Saccharomyces cerevisiae S288C: one gene and its partners. Changing the gene in region 1 together with any one later gene gives a genetic interaction. Each region holds a gene or a part of one and is shown in the gene's direction. Other genes may lie near its edges.

Evidence for each region. Genes that interact genetically often act in the same process or in processes that back each other up.
Region 2: mutations in DDE1 (region 1) and EMP24 together harm fitness more than expected from each alone (negative genetic interaction), as found in Saccharomyces cerevisiae (2 studies listed by BioGRID).
Region 3: mutations in DDE1 (region 1) and PGA3 together harm fitness more than expected from each alone (negative genetic interaction), as found in Saccharomyces cerevisiae (2 studies listed by BioGRID).

Annotation. Positions count from the first base shown.
Region 1 is NC_001140.6:193,838-202,198, forward strand, and holds DDE1 (Dde1p), read left to right. Parts: upstream 1-1,713; coding exon 1,714-3,396; downstream 3,397-8,361. Other genes in the region: DOG1 (2-deoxyglucose-6-phosphatase), read right to left, coding at 231-971; inositol monophosphate 1-phosphatase INM1, read right to left, coding at 3,561-4,448; AAP1 (arginine/alanine aminopeptidase), read right to left, coding at 4,903-7,473.
Region 2 is NC_001139.9:120,927-125,210, reverse strand, and holds EMP24 (Emp24p), read left to right. Parts: upstream 1-1,905; coding exon 1,906-2,517; downstream 2,518-4,284. Other genes in the region: MDS3 (Mds3p), read right to left, coding at 1-513; YIP4 (Yip4p), read right to left, coding at 913-1,620. UniProt on the Saccharomyces cerevisiae protein: Constituent of COPII-coated endoplasmic reticulum-derived transport vesicles. Required for efficient transport of a subset of secretory proteins to the Golgi.
Region 3 is NC_001145.3:18,994-23,470, reverse strand, and holds PGA3 (cytochrome-b5 reductase), read left to right. Parts: upstream 1-1,771; coding exon 1,772-2,710; downstream 2,711-4,477. Other genes in the region: alpha-tubulin TUB3, read left to right, coding at 111-1,423; ERG13 (hydroxymethylglutaryl-CoA synthase), read left to right, coding at 2,936-4,411. UniProt on the Saccharomyces cerevisiae protein: NADH-dependent cytochrome b5 reductase that reduces coenzyme Q6 at the plasma membrane and mediates lifespan extension by calorie restriction by shifting fermentative to respiratory metabolism, probably through modulating the NAD(+)/NADH ratio.

The DNA of each region.
Region 1 (8,361 bases):
TTAAAGATAATGATACAAAACTGAATACAAAGCATTCCAACGAAATACAGTTGATGGAAGTGTTTTGCGCTAAGGAAGATTAACATATAACCACACAACCATCTTCGAAGAAAAACTCAAAAAAAATCTTACCTCTTCAGTACCTAAAATGACATACATAATTCGACTTTTTGCTTGTCCATATGTTTTACATCTATATATATTCGTTCTTTTGTCACATTTTTGTTTACTCAGGCCCTTGTCAAAGGGTTGTTTACCTGGATGACAATACCGTTTTCATTGTTCTTAACCACGGAAACCTGTGTCAAATCACAGACTACATAATCTGCTCCTGCGTCAAATAAAACGCTCTTGTCATACGAGGATGTTATACCCACAGTAATGGCGCCCATTGCTTTGCCGGCCTTTATGCCCACGGGTGCATCTTCGAAGACAACATACTTCAGATCCTGTTTACCAGTTAATTGCAAATCTTGACGCAATAAATCACGAGCTCTTGAATAACCCTCGGGATCAGGCTTACCGTTCTTCACGTCAAACCCAGTAATGAAAACTTTGGGCTTTCCAACATTTTTCAATATTGTCTCGAACCATGAAAATGCCAAATATGGAGAACCAGAGGTAACGATAGCCCATTTCCTTTCAGGTAACTTTTTTTGAGTCTCAGTATCTACATCTAACGATAACAGTAAGTTCTCTGCACCAGGAATAAGGCTTACTGTGTCCAAGTAACTATGGGCAATATCTTTTTCTAGAGCAAGAACACCTTTATTGTCTGTATCATCCAATTTAGGGAAAAACCTTCTCAAAACCTCTTGTGTTCTTGCACCATGAGAATGCTTAAATAACTCGGAAGGATCAACACCGTATTCGTAACACAACTTGGTCCATGCTTTCTCTGCGGCCACTGTTGTACTCACTATGGTACCATCTAGGTCAAAAAGACATAGATCAGCTGAAAATTCTGCCATTATCCTTTGAACTTCTTACGTGAGTGGCAACGTAACCAACAATCTCCATCAGAACGTTATTTCCAACAGAATAATCGCGATCATTAAAAATGAAAATAAAATTAAATAAAATACTTGCAATAAAAAAGTTCCATGAAATTTATATCATTAGATGGTACCAGAGCCTATAATCTCATAGATATACGCTTCCTTCTATAGCTGAACAACGGTTGTTTGAAATGTCGGGGTTAATGTCGGAATATATAGGAATACTCTGACGTGTCTGTATCACGGAACATAACCGTGATTGAAAATTACAAGAAGCCAAGACTCTAAAGGATATGCGGTAGAAGGCGTGTGTAGAAGAGCCCAGTGTATATTTTTTCACCGATAAGATGAAGTAGATAAACGGAATTTCTGGCAAGTTACTTGGCAAAAGGATACATAGCACGAATTACTTTATTATAAATATTGTAACTGATTGCCTTGAATTGATGTTAATGAGAATCCTAGGACCCTTGGTTTGGTCATTAGCTTTTCGTTTTTCTTTGCGCGTCGTTAAGAATGAAAAAGTTCTAATATGTATCGTATCATAAACGACAGCAACTTCGAGAAGTACATTGAATGGAAATCATTCTGCAACACCTTTATAGCTTCAACATAGGTTAAGTTTTAAGCATTTCAAGTGCTTTTCAATTAAGCTATAGAAAGTTCTTTCGTTAGAAAGAAAGACAGTTAAACAAGCGGCAAAAGTTGATGAGCAATGAATTGGTCTTTTCTACTACAGCTGGTAATAACAATATTGTTAATTGTGCTGGGCGCCAACTGGTTGCTAAGCTCTTTTCTACTTGATTTTAAGAGAGATTTAACAGGGGTGGCTTTGTCACAGCAATCTAGCATATCCAGTGTTCGTAAAGAAAATGAAACAGCATATTATCGAAGCATTTTAGTGCCCACAGGATTCCCATTGACGACAGGATTAGGGCTATCTTTAAAATACAAAATAAGAAATGGCAATTTCGGTGATGTTTGGAATGCCATAATGGAAGTTTCCAAGGGAAAAAACATAATTAAATTTACAGGAAGAGAAAAAAGTTATTCGTTGAGTGAACTTAATGGTATGGCCAAGCGCATATTTCCGAAACTTTCCAATAAGAATTTCAAAAATATCGGTATAGCTAATTCTATTGCTACCGTAGAGGGTTTTACTCTCTCCTTGGCTTCCATGATGACCTCTATAAGAACAGGTTCAATACCTCATTTCTTGCCAGCTGTTCCTAGACAACGACTAGAAGATGTTGATGTCCTGATCATCGACTCATGGAAGTCTTTTAAGATGCTAAACGGCAGCGAGGATTGGTACAAGCTTATTGTTGTTTGCGATGATCCTATCGAATCACTACAATTTGATGCGAACTGTGATGTTATCACTTGGAAAGAACTTATCGACGGTTTTACCAAGGATACAGAGTACCAATACACCCCGCCAGATGACAACTCTGATGATAAGAAACTTTTTGCATACGTAACTTCACCATGGAATGGAACTAATAGTTTTAATCAAATCTGTCTGGTGAGTAATATAGCGGAATTCATCAAAGGGTTCCCCTTGGGAAATGAATTGAATAGTAATGAATACCTAACCATTTCGACAAAATTGGCAAATTCTAGTGCAAGCCTACAAATTTGGGGAAAGCTTTTTGCAGTTTTGCTGCATGGTGGGTCTGCATCTTTCATCAATCCTACAACGATAGATTGCGAGTCGTTGCAAGAAACTACGTTACTGTTTACCGAAACAAAGGATGTTGTCAAATTAATTGATTCTAATTCTAGAAGTGGGCTGCTGAATAAAATCTACTTATCCTGGGCCACGAACTTACTGAGCGAGGGTATTTTTACGAAAATTGCCAGAATCGAGCCACATTCTCTTGAAAAATTAAGATGTGTTTATTTGGCAGATAATGTGAAAGATGCTGAGGTTATTTCGACATTTCCTGAAAAAATTCCTCAGCTAAAAAAGACTAACCGAAGAATCACCCCAAGCACTGAACAATTGAATAAAATAAGAGCTCAATTAGGATCCCGTGTAGTCCTCGAGTTATATTGTCCCTACGCTATCATGGGACCTGTGGCACATACCAATTTTTATGACTATAGGGTTTTTGGAAAATCTGTGGACGATAACGTTGTATGTTATGGAACACTAAGTACAACATTAGAAGGAAAAATGGTAGAAACGGAAACAAACCCTCATTTGAACATAGAGAAGAAGCAGGGTATGTTATGTATTCGTGGTTTTAGCATAGGTAAACCAGTAGAGTCCGATCGTTTAGAGAAAGCTTTGCATTTAGCTGAAAGGTTTGGAGGAGGTGAAGGATGGATGCCTCTAGTTGGCGTTTTTGGACTATTTGGCCAAGACGGTTGCTTATACATCTATAATCAATGAGCATTATCTATCGCTTTATTATTTATTATTTATTATTATCATTATTATTATTATCATTATTATTATTACTACCAATACCTTCTATATCCCTGTGATCAGCTAAAATGATTCAAATAACTGTCATTTTAATCGTACATTTTATATTAGGCCTAATGTGCTGACGATCAGTCATATTTCAAATGGCCATCAACACAGTTCCAAAAGTCTGTGATATATTTTGTTTGTTCGTCACTTTCGTTATTAATTGTTCCCCTCACAGCCAAATATGTCCTATTGTCGACATCAATACTCCATTCACCTGGATTGGCACCTACTACACGACCGCCCACTTCTTTCAAAATACACCATCCAGCACACACGTCCCACGAATAGCAACCACCATCCCAATAACTATCAAGGTACCCCATAGCAATATATGCCATTGTCATTGCAGATGATCCTAAATTTCTGAATCCATGAACAAAACCGTAATCACATGATAGTAATTTTTCATATGTGGCCATTTTTGTCTGAAAATTCTTTCCCTCTCTAGCGGAACCTGGCTGTAATGCCACTACGGATTTATTTAGTATTAGAGAACCCATAGATTCCAATTTTGATTTATAGTCATAGTCCTTGTTGTTAACTCTCATCCCATTTCCTTTAGAAGCGGATACCAGAAGATTAATGTGAGGATTATATATAACGCCTACTACGGGCTCTTTGTTTACTGTGAGCCCAAGAGAGGTACAGCTAAATGGGAAATCATGAACAAAGTTTGTAGTCCCATCAATTGGATCAATAATAAAGGTAGGATCATCAGTAATCACGGTCTCCCCTTTCACATAACTTTCCTCTCCAATAAACTTGAAAGTTGGATATTGGGTTTTTACCGATTCCCAAATTAACTTTTCGACCTGTTTATCGATAGCAGTTACAATATCAACGCTCCTGGAGCCAGTCTTCAAGTCATAATCCTTTTGAGTGCCGGACTTGGATTTGATGATTGGTCCTACTTTTTCAGTAGCCAGTTCACAGAGGAATTTCTCGATAGAAGCTAGATCAATGGTCATGGTATATGTGTATATGCGTGTACCAGCTGTTGATTTCCTTATTCATCCAAAAAAAAGAAAACACTGGGGTTATTTAACAAGCAGTTAAATGTGAAGTAAGAGATAAAAGACCTATATTAATACCATTTTTGGAAAAGCAACGTGCGCAACAATGAAAGTCACTCGATGCATCCATTATTCAAAAAAAAGTTTTTTTTTTTTTTCCATACATCATCAGATGAAAAAATCTCGCTATGACGCACGCCAGTCAATATTCACTCAGTTCTTCCGAAAGGAAGCAGAAGAAAGTTCTCTATACTTGGAAATGTGTCAATGAAGATGTTATCAGATTCATTTTCTGCTAGCTACTATATTTCTACATAAGCAAGTAGTAATCTCTTTATTAATTACACGTGGTTTTGACTCATTGGCATATGTATATATTTGTGTTGTAGGTGCTCGTGAAAAAAAAAAGCTATTGATCATACTCATGCTCACGCAAGTAGGTAGCAACGATTTCACGATCTCTGCTCACCCATTGCGCCTTGGATCTAATAGTGTCTAAGGCTTGAGCCAGGGTTTGATCAAAACCTTTAGTGACCTTTCTACTATAGAACGCACTAATTTTTTCAAGGGCTTCAAAAGAGGTAAAATTAGTTAAACCCAATGTCAACACGCCACCCAACACAGGCGAGCCTGGCTGTAATCTCTTAGCAATTTCGTCCCAGTGTTCTTGCATCCAAGCCCATAACCTTTCAATACCCTTCTTATGAACTCTAATGCCTTGCATTGGGATGTAAAAATCTTGATTCAAAACTGTACCATCTAGCAGATAAGACAATGTCCTTTCTAAAAGTTCTTTGTCTTCAAATCTGCCCAAAGCTCTCAAAGCGATAATCTTTTCTTCTGACGAAACAGGGTTTTGATAGATGTTGAAAATCTTTTCGTAATTGTTTTCTCCGCCAAGTCTGGCAACGGTGTTGAAAACAACTGCCTTGAACAGTGCAGGTATGGCCTGTTTGTTCCCATTGGCGTATTCCTCAAACATTTCTACCGCAATCGATTGCATTTTTTCATTGCCAGAAGTGCATGCGGCACTGAAAAGGGTCACTTTTAAACGTTGGATAGCAAAGGAGTCGTCTTCGCCAATATTCCACCCCAATTCAGAAAGTTTGTTAAGTACTAGATCCAAAGTAAATTTATCTAGAGCATTCAATATATCCTCTGGTTCGAAGACCCAAGTAGATTTCAGAGCGGATAAACTATTAATGATTTGTTCCCAAACAACAAATGAATCCTCGTTTTTCCAATTAGAAATTAAATTCAAGAAGTTAGTAGTAGAGGTATAGCCAGATGCAGAAAGGGCTTTTGCATCTGCGACTAAGCCAACACGATCCTCTACGGATAATAAATTTGCCTGTTTGGATAGCTTAGCCCATCTTTCGTCAGAATAAGAGGTAATGAAAATACCAGATTGGTCACCATTAATCTTGAAGAACTCTTCATTCTTTAATTCGAAAGTAGCAGATTTTTCGTTCAATACCAATGTGTTATCGATACCTGTACTGTCTTTCAAAGCTAACAAAATGGGGTATATGGTTGTATCTTCCTCTTCTTTAACATCACCGGTACTTAAATAACGGTGTTGAGTTAATGTGATTTTGTTCTTGTGTTCCTTGACAGATAACACTGGAAAACCAACACGTTTTGTCCAGATGTTCATCACCGAACAAACGTCCTTGCCAGAGGCATCTGCTAAGGCGTCCCACAAATCTCCGGTCTTTGCATTACCGTATTTGAATTTATTCAGGTATTGGGACACACCTTTAATAAAAGTCTCTTCACCCAACCATTTGGAAATCATCCTCAATAAAGAAGATCCTTTAGAATAAGAAATAGCATCAAAAATTTGATTGATTTCGTCCGCATTATTAACGGGAACTTCAATTGGATGGGAAGATCTTAATGAATCTAAATTTAGAGCACGTTGTAAATTGTCAGTAACATATTGCTCCCAAACTTTCCATTCTGGTTGAAACTTGTTGCAAGAGTACCAAGACATCCAAGTGGCAAAACCTTCATTCAACCATAAGCCTTCCCACCAATCCATGGTGACCAAGTTGCCGAACCATTGGTGGGCTAGTTCATGCTGAATAACCTCAGCAACTCTTTGAATGCGATCTAAACTCGAATTTTCTATGTCTAATAACAAATCAATAACTCTATAAGTCACTAGCCCCCAGTTTTCCATAGCACCAGCAGAAAACTCATGAACTGCCACCATATCCATCTTTGGCAATGGATATTCTATGTTGAAGGTGTCCTCAAAGAATCTCAAGGTCCTAGCAGCTAAATTGGCTGCAAACTGACCAAATTTTTCGTCCCCTGGGGTAGAATAAACTCTTACTGGAATACGGAAATTATTGCTTTCCACGTATCTCAGGTCAGCTACAATAAATGCTACTAAGTACGTAGACATCTTTGGAGTCGTGTTAAAAGTTGTATATTTCTTACCCTCTTTGATTGTTTCATTCCTGACATCCATGTTGGACAAATGAGTCAGAAACGATTCAGAGACCAAAGTTACTGCAAAAGTCGCCTTCAAATTTGGTTCGTCAAAACAAGGAAAGGCTCTTCTAGCATCTGTGGCTTCCATCTGAGTAGTAGCCATGTACTTCGTCTCCCCTGTGACTTTATCCGTATACTTAGCCCTGTAAAATCCCGCCATCTGATCATTTAGAATACCGGAAAAGATAATTTCTAACTTCGCAGAAGGTCCTAGGTTTTCAAAAGTTCCATTAGGAAAGACAAGAGTAGCTTTTTGTTGGTTTTCGTTTTTGTTAACTTCAATGGCATTGACACCCTCAATACGTGCAGAATGGAAATCTATTTCTAAGTAATTTATTTGCACAGAGTTTATCGAATGATCATTAATCTGCAGGTCAATTTTTAATGACCCTTCAAACGTAAAAGCACGGAAATTAGGTTCTAGTGTAATGTCATAATGCAATGGGGTAACGTTGTTTGGCAGTACTTCACGGGACATGGTATTAGCTGAGAGGGCAATTTGGCTTGCTTGAACAGGAACCCTCAAAGAAAAATCACGAATTGAATAAGCTTCCCTGAAGATAATTCTAAATGATTAGCTAAGATTACTCATAAAGTCAAAAGTTTGATCGCTAACAAAAGGGAAAAAAACGGAAAAAAAATAAAAAAATGTGTCAAACTCCCACAGCCAAGTCCAAGAGTACGAAAAAAAACTTTCACAACGAGTTCAAAAAATGTGGGATGAAGACTCCCGTTTTTCACCGCCTAGAAAACAGCGTTTGCTGAGAAAAAAAATAAATCATCGAGAAGAAGTATGTCATCATAGGATGTTCCCATTGTAAGGTGATGTGTAACATACTCGAACAAAGAATGTATAGAGCTGAATATTTCTCCTTTAAATTTCAAAGAAAATGAGAAGGAAAATCTCAAACAGAAACTTCGTTCTTTTTCTCAAGTAAGCAAAAGCTTATTGAGACAAAGCGGAATAACTACGATATTAATAACGTTGATGAAGCTCGAACAAAGTTAGCGTCGGTTATGCTTGCCTATATAAAGATATATTTGCCTTACATTTTCGTTGAACGTAGAATGATTTTTGCTTTTAATAAATTTTTTGTTGTTCTTTCAGTGCTTCTTCAACTTTGATACGAAAGCAAGTGCATTAGTACAACAAGAACTGGCCACAACTATACTATACTCATTTTTTCTTGCCCGTGTTTTAAATGTTTTCATCCACAGCATTTGATGGGATGATTGGAAGTGAGACGTTCGAGAAAATCCATATTTTGAGTCAAGAATTCAGATAATATACTGAGATGATTAGGTATGGCTGGGTTCTACAAAAACACAAATATCCGGCTAGCAATGATCACTGAGCAAATTAAAG
Region 2 (4,284 bases), on another chromosome or scaffold:
ACAGCCATCTAAATAACATAAGGAATGGAATAGCCTCTCCTTGAGCGGAGATTCAAGGGATTTACCTTTCTTAATGTCCGTTCTAATCTCGTTTGTGTCATTATCTGCTTTGGCGCTAGAACTCTCTGCCTTTAATAATTCCTCTGTCCTTTGGTCAAAGGAGGTCTTGACTCTGTACCAGGTTCTAGACATCAAGTCTAAGAAAAACGTCTCCTTACTTATCCACTCGTTTAAATTCCTAAAAGAACTACCGTTGTTTTTTTCCTTTGCAAAAAAGAGAATAAGCTCCTTTTGTAATTGCATAGAATTTACAACTGGCAGGTTCAACGGGATGGTTAGACCACCATGTACAAATATATTAGACCTTGTTAGCGTCACCGCTGAACCTGTTCTATAGTCCAGCGTTAACCTTTTCCTGGCGCATTCATCAAACTCGTTGGAATCGGAAGTCAGTGGTAATGGCGGAAGCTTCAAAGGGTAGCAGAAGCAAGTGGATGGTTGTAATAAAGGCATACTACGCTAAAGCAGGTGCAGATTGTTACTTGTCCTTTGGTTTGCACGCGCGCTATGTTATCTTATATATATAGTAAAACAGAAAAGTCTCTAAAGCGCCTTCACCATGTAATGTTTGCAAGTGTGGCTATAGGCACAGGAAGGAGAAGAGTTCTCAAACAATTGTGGTAAACGGACGCTGTGAACTTGAAATAGACTTTGCCAGACTCTGCGCTACCAATTCATCAGAAAGCCTAATCTTGCTTTGAACTTCTCTTACACTCCACGGAGTCTGCCTTAGCCACACGCCAGCCCCTGTGAGCGTCCTCTTTTTTTTTTTTTTCAGAACTTTCTGCCGTGGCTCGCGAGATAGGCAATTCTATGTCCATGATATTGGGTTTTATACATATGTAACTAGTGTTATAAAATAGTTGACAACCAGGCCATGCCAAAAAGACAGAGTGCCAGAGGGTATATCTCGATAATGGTCTTGCTCTTGGTAACCCACGAAACGGCGGCCACAGACCACATCAGGCACAGCGCCATGACCACCAGTTTCACGAGCGACAGGACCCTCACAATCCAGCGATTTTGCTTTCCAATATGGTAGGCCAATGGAAGTAGTATCTGCGAGACTAAGGCATTCAGCACTTGTGGGAATAAGCAATACCCGGAAATGGAGATGTACGAAATCAGCGACACCCTCTGGTGTGGCTTGGTGAGTCTCAGATGCAATGCCATCACCAGCAAAATGAACCAACTAGACACAAATAGGCTCGAGAACAGCGACCGCGCATGCGATACAAATAGAGAATACAATATGATAAACGCAAGGGGCGCCCACAGGTCGCAATTGGCTGAAATGTCGTTATCAGCCGCCCCTATCCCGTCATCAGAGGGGCTAAAGAATGAGGGGAAATGCGGGTATACCACTTGTTTCAGTCTGGAATTAATCTCCACCACATCTCGCTTTAGTGTTTGCAGCACAGTCTCGTCGAGCGTCCCTCTGCTGCCTGAATTCTGCATAGTTCCGCCTATGTTGTCAGCAACACCCCCGGAAGCAGCCAAAGGTGCATCTGGTTCTATGAAGTCGGGCTCAATCGTAGTGTCTTCTCTTCCGTATGACATTTTGCCTGCCCTCTTGTGACATATCTTTCTACAAATATTGCTAAAACAGCTTCATTTGCTATTGTAAAAGGGGACGAAAAATCACTGTGAGAAAATCATCACTCCGGGTAATCCAATTTTCATGAAAAAAGACGCGAGGAAAGTCAGAAAAGTCGTGCAAAACAGCCTGAGAGATCGGGTCGCTTAAACATTTTGACACGAAACTTATAATGAAATAAAAAGCTATACTTGGTGAAACTGCAATCTTAATAGTATCCCTCCGCACAAAAATACACACGCATAAGGATGGCCTCATTTGCTACTAAGTTTGTCATTGCTTGCTTCCTGTTCTTCTCGGCGTCCGCCCATAATGTCCTTCTTCCAGCTTATGGCCGTAGATGCTTCTTCGAAGACTTGAGTAAGGGTGACGAGCTCTCCATTTCGTTCCAGTTCGGTGATAGAAACCCTCAATCCAGTAGCCAGCTGACTGGTGACTTTATCATCTACGGGCCGGAAAGACATGAAGTTTTGAAAACGGTTAGGGACACGTCGCACGGTGAAATCACATTGTCTGCTCCATACAAGGGACATTTCCAATACTGTTTCTTGAACGAGAACACCGGTATCGAGACAAAAGACGTGACTTTCAACATTCATGGGGTGGTATATGTGGATTTGGACGACCCAAACACCAATACATTGGATAGTGCTGTCAGAAAGTTGTCCAAATTAACCAGGGAAGTCAAGGACGAACAAAGTTATATTGTTATTAGAGAAAGGACGCATAGAAATACTGCAGAGTCGACCAACGATCGTGTTAAATGGTGGTCCATCTTCCAATTGGGCGTCGTTATTGCAAACTCTCTTTTCCAGATATACTACTTGAGAAGATTCTTTGAGGTCACATCTCTAGTCTAAGTAAAGCAGGAAAATGTAGTTCATATCTATTTACTTTTGCCTACATACGATTACATACACGATTGGATAACCTGAAGTCGCGAATAATTCTCGGTTTCATACTTTTTACCTTGATCCTTCCACTGTTTTTCCCTGTGCCAATTACATGTAAATAAATATATACATATATATGGTCCAGGCGCGCCATAAAACAAATACAGGTTGTAGCGAATCAAAAAATGGGAAATACATACGAAAAACTTGAAAGAAACAAGTACCACAGGACATGCTGTGGTCCGTTTTTCCCCAGAGCACTTTTATGTGGGACTCTTAGAAGGGAAATAGCTCTGTTCATATAGAACAAAAAAAGAATAGCCCTGTAGGGGGCTCGAACCCCTAACCTTATGATTAAGAGTCATACGCGCTACCGATTGCGCCAACAAGGCTAATTCGTTGGAAAACGTCCCCATTTCAGGGAAACATAGCTCACGATGTTAATAACTGATTTGTAGCCGAGCCACATTGTATCAACGCGTGATTAACACATGTTTGGAATATACTGTTGGAACAAGAATCAACTAGTGCTCATATTAGCAATATATTACTATATACGGTGTAAGAAGATGTCCACTATAGTCAGCCATATTCTTGATCTTACGAAAGGGAACTGTGATGTAAAATTTGTGACACTGTGACACCTTCTAGTGAAATATAGGGCATTACCAAAGTCACTAATGAGTAAAAATACCAATTACTGTCCGTAGTTCGTCAGATTAGAATCCACTATATTTTCTTTGATTGGGAGTTAACGCTGCATACTTGTCTTGGGTACTGCGTTAACCATAAATCACATAAGCGTCATTCATTATCGTACCTCTGGGTAAGTGTTTTTCAGGAGTTTTTATATATAATATGCTGGCCCCCAAGGCGGATGAGGACTGTATACGGTTTTGACGTTAAAGTGTTATATGAATCGCAGTCGCATACACTAGTGGACCCCTAGTTCCGCGATACGTAGTTGACCCTCAGTACAGAGATTCCCACGATTAACGGGTGTACTGCTCCTGACTAATGTAATTTTGAGTTCACCTGTTGATGTGGTGCTGATACTGGCACCAGTACTAATGTTTGGAAGAACTCCGTAGCATTAAGTGGAGAGATTAATCCGATACTGAGCTGAATAGTTGGTTTCACTCCCGCAAAAAGATATCAATACAGTTTGCTAACAACTTGGGAAACCCTGATGAGAAGAATTAGCGGTCATCCTGAGAAATAGGTGACCATTTAAATGGTCACTTGAATTCGATTTTCCAGTAAGGGAAGTGTCATTCGGAATCCAGAATATACCAGAAATAAGCAATTTTGCATGATAGTGCTGTTATCCTTTCTTGTGTTTTATACGATATCATACATCACCCCATTACGTTATTTATCTTGCATTTCAGTTTTTACTGGGTTTACCCTTTTCGCGATTTATATCATATTATCACCGCACATAATATACTAGTAACATTACTATTCGTCGACAAACAATAGCTTGTTTTGATTCCAGTTCTCATAACATTTGTGTACCTATTCTTTTGCCGTTCCTTCGCTATTTGGTATTGTCATCTAAGTTCGTCTATTAAATTTCCTTTTTAGGAAAAGCGCCTAATAGGCCTTTCTTGAAGCTTTTTTTTTTTCTTTCTTTAATCTACAATAATAACAAAATATTTCATTCTTAAGTGATTTACAGCGAGTATCTTACACTTCGCCACCGGTGGATAGGAAAAATAGACTTACCAAAGG
Region 3 (4,477 bases), on another chromosome or scaffold:
ATACTCGGACGAAAAAGCTCATAATTGACCTCATTACATGGGGAGTGATTTTTGTGTCTTCTTCTTCGGAGGATTGCTGGAACTTTTGTTATTTTTCTTTTTTACAACAGTTGGTCAAGCAGGTTGTCAAATAGGTAATGCATGCTGGGAATTGTACTCCCTAGAGCATGGCATCAAGGAAGACGGCCATTTGGAGGATGGCTTGTCAAAACCTAAGGGAGGTGAAGAAGGATTTTCTACATTCTTCCATGAAACGGGGTACGGAAAATTCGTCCCAAGAGCAATCTACGTGGATTTAGAGCCCAATGTTATCGATGAAGTACGTACAGGACGTTTCAAGGAGCTTTTCCATCCAGAACAATTGATTAACGGTAAGGAAGATGCCGCCAATAACTACGCAAGAGGCCATTATACAGTGGGTAGAGAAATAGTGGATGAAGTTGAAGAAAGAATTAGAAAGATGGCCGACCAATGTGACGGTTTACAAGGGTTCTTGTTCACCCACTCCCTCGGTGGTGGAACTGGTTCCGGTTTAGGTTCCCTGTTATTAGAAAACTTATCGTATGAATACGGGAAGAAATCCAAATTGGAATTCGCCGTTTATCCTGCGCCTCAATTGTCTACTTCCGTCGTGGAACCTTACAACACGGTTTTAACCACGCATACCACCCTGGAACACGCAGACTGTACGTTTATGGTCGATAACGAAGCCATTTACGATATATGCAAGAGGAACTTGGGAATTTCTAGACCAAGCTTCAGCAACTTGAACGGGTTGATTGCCCAAGTGATATCATCTGTTACAGCCTCTTTGAGGTTCGATGGTTCATTAAACGTGGATTTGAACGAATTTCAGACCAACTTGGTACCATATCCAAGAATTCATTTCCCTTTGGTTTCCTACGCACCCATCTTGTCCAAGAAGAGGGCCACCCATGAATCCAACTCCGTGTCAGAAATCACAAACGCTTGTTTCGAACCGGGCAATCAAATGGTTAAGTGTGACCCAACAAAGGGGAAGTACATGGCTAACTGTTTGTTATACAGAGGTGACGTGGTGACCAGAGATGTCCAAAGAGCCGTCGAACAGGTGAAGAATAAAAAAACAGTACAAATGGTGGATTGGTGTCCAACAGGATTTAAGATTGGTATTTGTTATGAGCCACCAAGTGTGATACCAAGTTCCGAATTAGCCAATGTGGATAGAGCTGTCTGCATGCTATCCAACACCACTGCCATCGCGGACGCTTGGAAGAGAATCGATCAGAAATTCGACCTGATGTATGCCAAACGTGCTTTCGTCCATTGGTATGTCGGTGAAGGTATGGAAGAAGGTGAGTTCACCGAAGCTAGAGAAGATTTAGCTGCCTTAGAAAGAGATTATATTGAAGTGGGTGCCGATTCTTACGCTGAGGAGTTCTAAGAAAGTGGCTCTGATCCCGATACCCACTTATAGATTTATATTTACTTAATGTCCATATGTATATACATATATATATATATATATATATACGCTTATATATATATATGCATATTCTATCCAAATAAAGATACCTCTAATTATCGAATTATTTTTCACTTACCTTTAGGTGTACAGTTAGAACAATAGCTTATTAAATTTATTTTTTTCCCTATGTTCCGCGGAATATTGAAAAATTTGAAAATATTCTAAGACAAAAATACCCATAAAAAACAAAGAGTTTTGAGCTCATCTCGTTGCCACCCAAACTTATCACAAAAAAGGAAGCACTCCAAGAACCGCGTGAAGAAAATGTCAAAAGAAGACATAGAAGGAACTAACATTCTAGACGAACCTGTCCACGGGATCTATATTCCTGCCGCGCTATTCGTTGTTGGTGTTGCAATCACCACGTATATGTCTGGTGAATTGAAAATCCTGTGGAGTTTACCCATTCTCTTCATGATCATCTTCGTCAGAGCATACTCTGCCTACAAAAGAAGAAGATCACTGTATCCAGATAGGTGGACTTCGTTAGAATTGGAAGATCAAACCATAATTTCCAAGAATACCGCCCTGTATCGTTTTAAGTTGAAGACAAGACTGGAAAGCTTGGACATTCCCGCTGGTCATCATGTTGCTGTACGCGTTCCAATTGACGGCAAACAAGAGGTCAGATACTATAATCCGATCAGTTCTAAACTAGAAAGTGGATACTTGGATTTGGTGGTGAAAGCATACGTTGATGGTAAAGTCTCCAAATATTTCGCTGGCTTAAATTCTGGTGACACCGTGGATTTCAAGGGGCCAATAGGTACTTTGAACTACGAACCAAATTCCTCCAAGCATTTAGGTATCGTAGCCGGTGGTTCTGGTATCACGCCAGTCCTACAGATCTTGAATGAAATCATCACCGTTCCTGAAGATTTGACGAAAGTCTCCCTGCTATATGCCAATGAGACTGAAAATGACATTCTATTGAAGGACGAACTGGATGAGATGGCCGAAAAATACCCACATTTCCAGGTCCATTACGTGGTACACTATCCATCCGACAGATGGACCGGAGATGTCGGCTACATCACCAAGGACCAGATGAACAGGTATCTGCCGGAATATTCGGAGGATAACAGACTCTTGATCTGTGGACCTGATGGAATGAACAACTTGGCCCTTCAATACGCTAAAGAACTGGGCTGGAAGGTCAATTCAACGAGAAGTTCTGGCGACGATCAAGTCTTCGTCTTTTAACGGAATAAGCTTCGTATATACAATAGAAAAATTTTCCATACAATATTACATAATACTATAGAGTAATCATACCCACAATCTCCATGGCTGCGGTATCGTGTCGAAAATGAACCGGGCTATTAATTATACGAGTGTGTTGAAAGTAGGCTCCATTCGGCCTCATCGGGCGGAACTGTTTGGGTGCCTCGCCAATTTTCGTAGCCAAATTACTATAAAAGGTGCAGCATGAAACTCTCAACTAAACTTTGTTGGTGTGGTATTAAAGGAAGACTTAGGCCGCAAAAGCAACAACAATTACACAATACAAACTTGCAAATGACTGAACTAAAAAAACAAAAGACCGCTGAACAAAAAACCAGACCTCAAAATGTCGGTATTAAAGGTATCCAAATTTACATCCCAACTCAATGTGTCAACCAATCTGAGCTAGAGAAATTTGATGGCGTTTCTCAAGGTAAATACACAATTGGTCTGGGCCAAACCAACATGTCTTTTGTCAATGACAGAGAAGATATCTACTCGATGTCCCTAACTGTTTTGTCTAAGTTGATCAAGAGTTACAACATCGACACCAACAAAATTGGTAGATTAGAAGTCGGTACTGAAACTCTGATTGACAAGTCCAAGTCTGTCAAGTCTGTCTTGATGCAATTGTTTGGTGAAAACACTGACGTCGAAGGTATTGACACGCTTAATGCCTGTTACGGTGGTACCAACGCGTTGTTCAACTCTTTGAACTGGATTGAATCTAACGCATGGGATGGTAGAGACGCCATTGTAGTTTGCGGTGATATTGCCATCTACGATAAGGGTGCCGCAAGACCAACCGGTGGTGCCGGTACTGTTGCTATGTGGATCGGTCCTGATGCTCCAATTGTATTTGACTCTGTAAGAGCTTCTTACATGGAACACGCCTACGATTTTTACAAGCCAGATTTCACCAGCGAATATCCTTACGTCGATGGTCATTTTTCATTAACTTGTTACGTCAAGGCTCTTGATCAAGTTTACAAGAGTTATTCCAAGAAGGCTATTTCTAAAGGGTTGGTTAGCGATCCCGCTGGTTCGGATGCTTTGAACGTTTTGAAATATTTCGACTACAACGTTTTCCATGTTCCAACCTGTAAATTGGTCACAAAATCATACGGTAGATTACTATATAACGATTTCAGAGCCAATCCTCAATTGTTCCCAGAAGTTGACGCCGAATTAGCTACTCGCGATTATGACGAATCTTTAACCGATAAGAACATTGAAAAAACTTTTGTTAATGTTGCTAAGCCATTCCACAAAGAGAGAGTTGCCCAATCTTTGATTGTTCCAACAAACACAGGTAACATGTACACCGCATCTGTTTATGCCGCCTTTGCATCTCTATTAAACTATGTTGGATCTGACGACTTACAAGGCAAGCGTGTTGGTTTATTTTCTTACGGTTCCGGTTTAGCTGCATCTCTATATTCTTGCAAAATTGTTGGTGACGTCCAACATATTATCAAGGAATTAGATATTACTAACAAATTAGCCAAGAGAATCACCGAAACTCCAAAGGATTACGAAGCTGCCATCGAATTGAGAGAAAATGCCCATTTGAAGAAGAACTTCAAACCTCAAGGTTCCATTGAGCATTTGCAAAGTGGTGTTTACTACTTGACCAACATCGATGACAAATTTAGAAGATCTTACGATGTTAAAAAATAATCTTCCCCCATCGATTGCATCTTGCTGAACCCCCTTCATAAATGCTTTATTTTTTTGGCAGCCTGC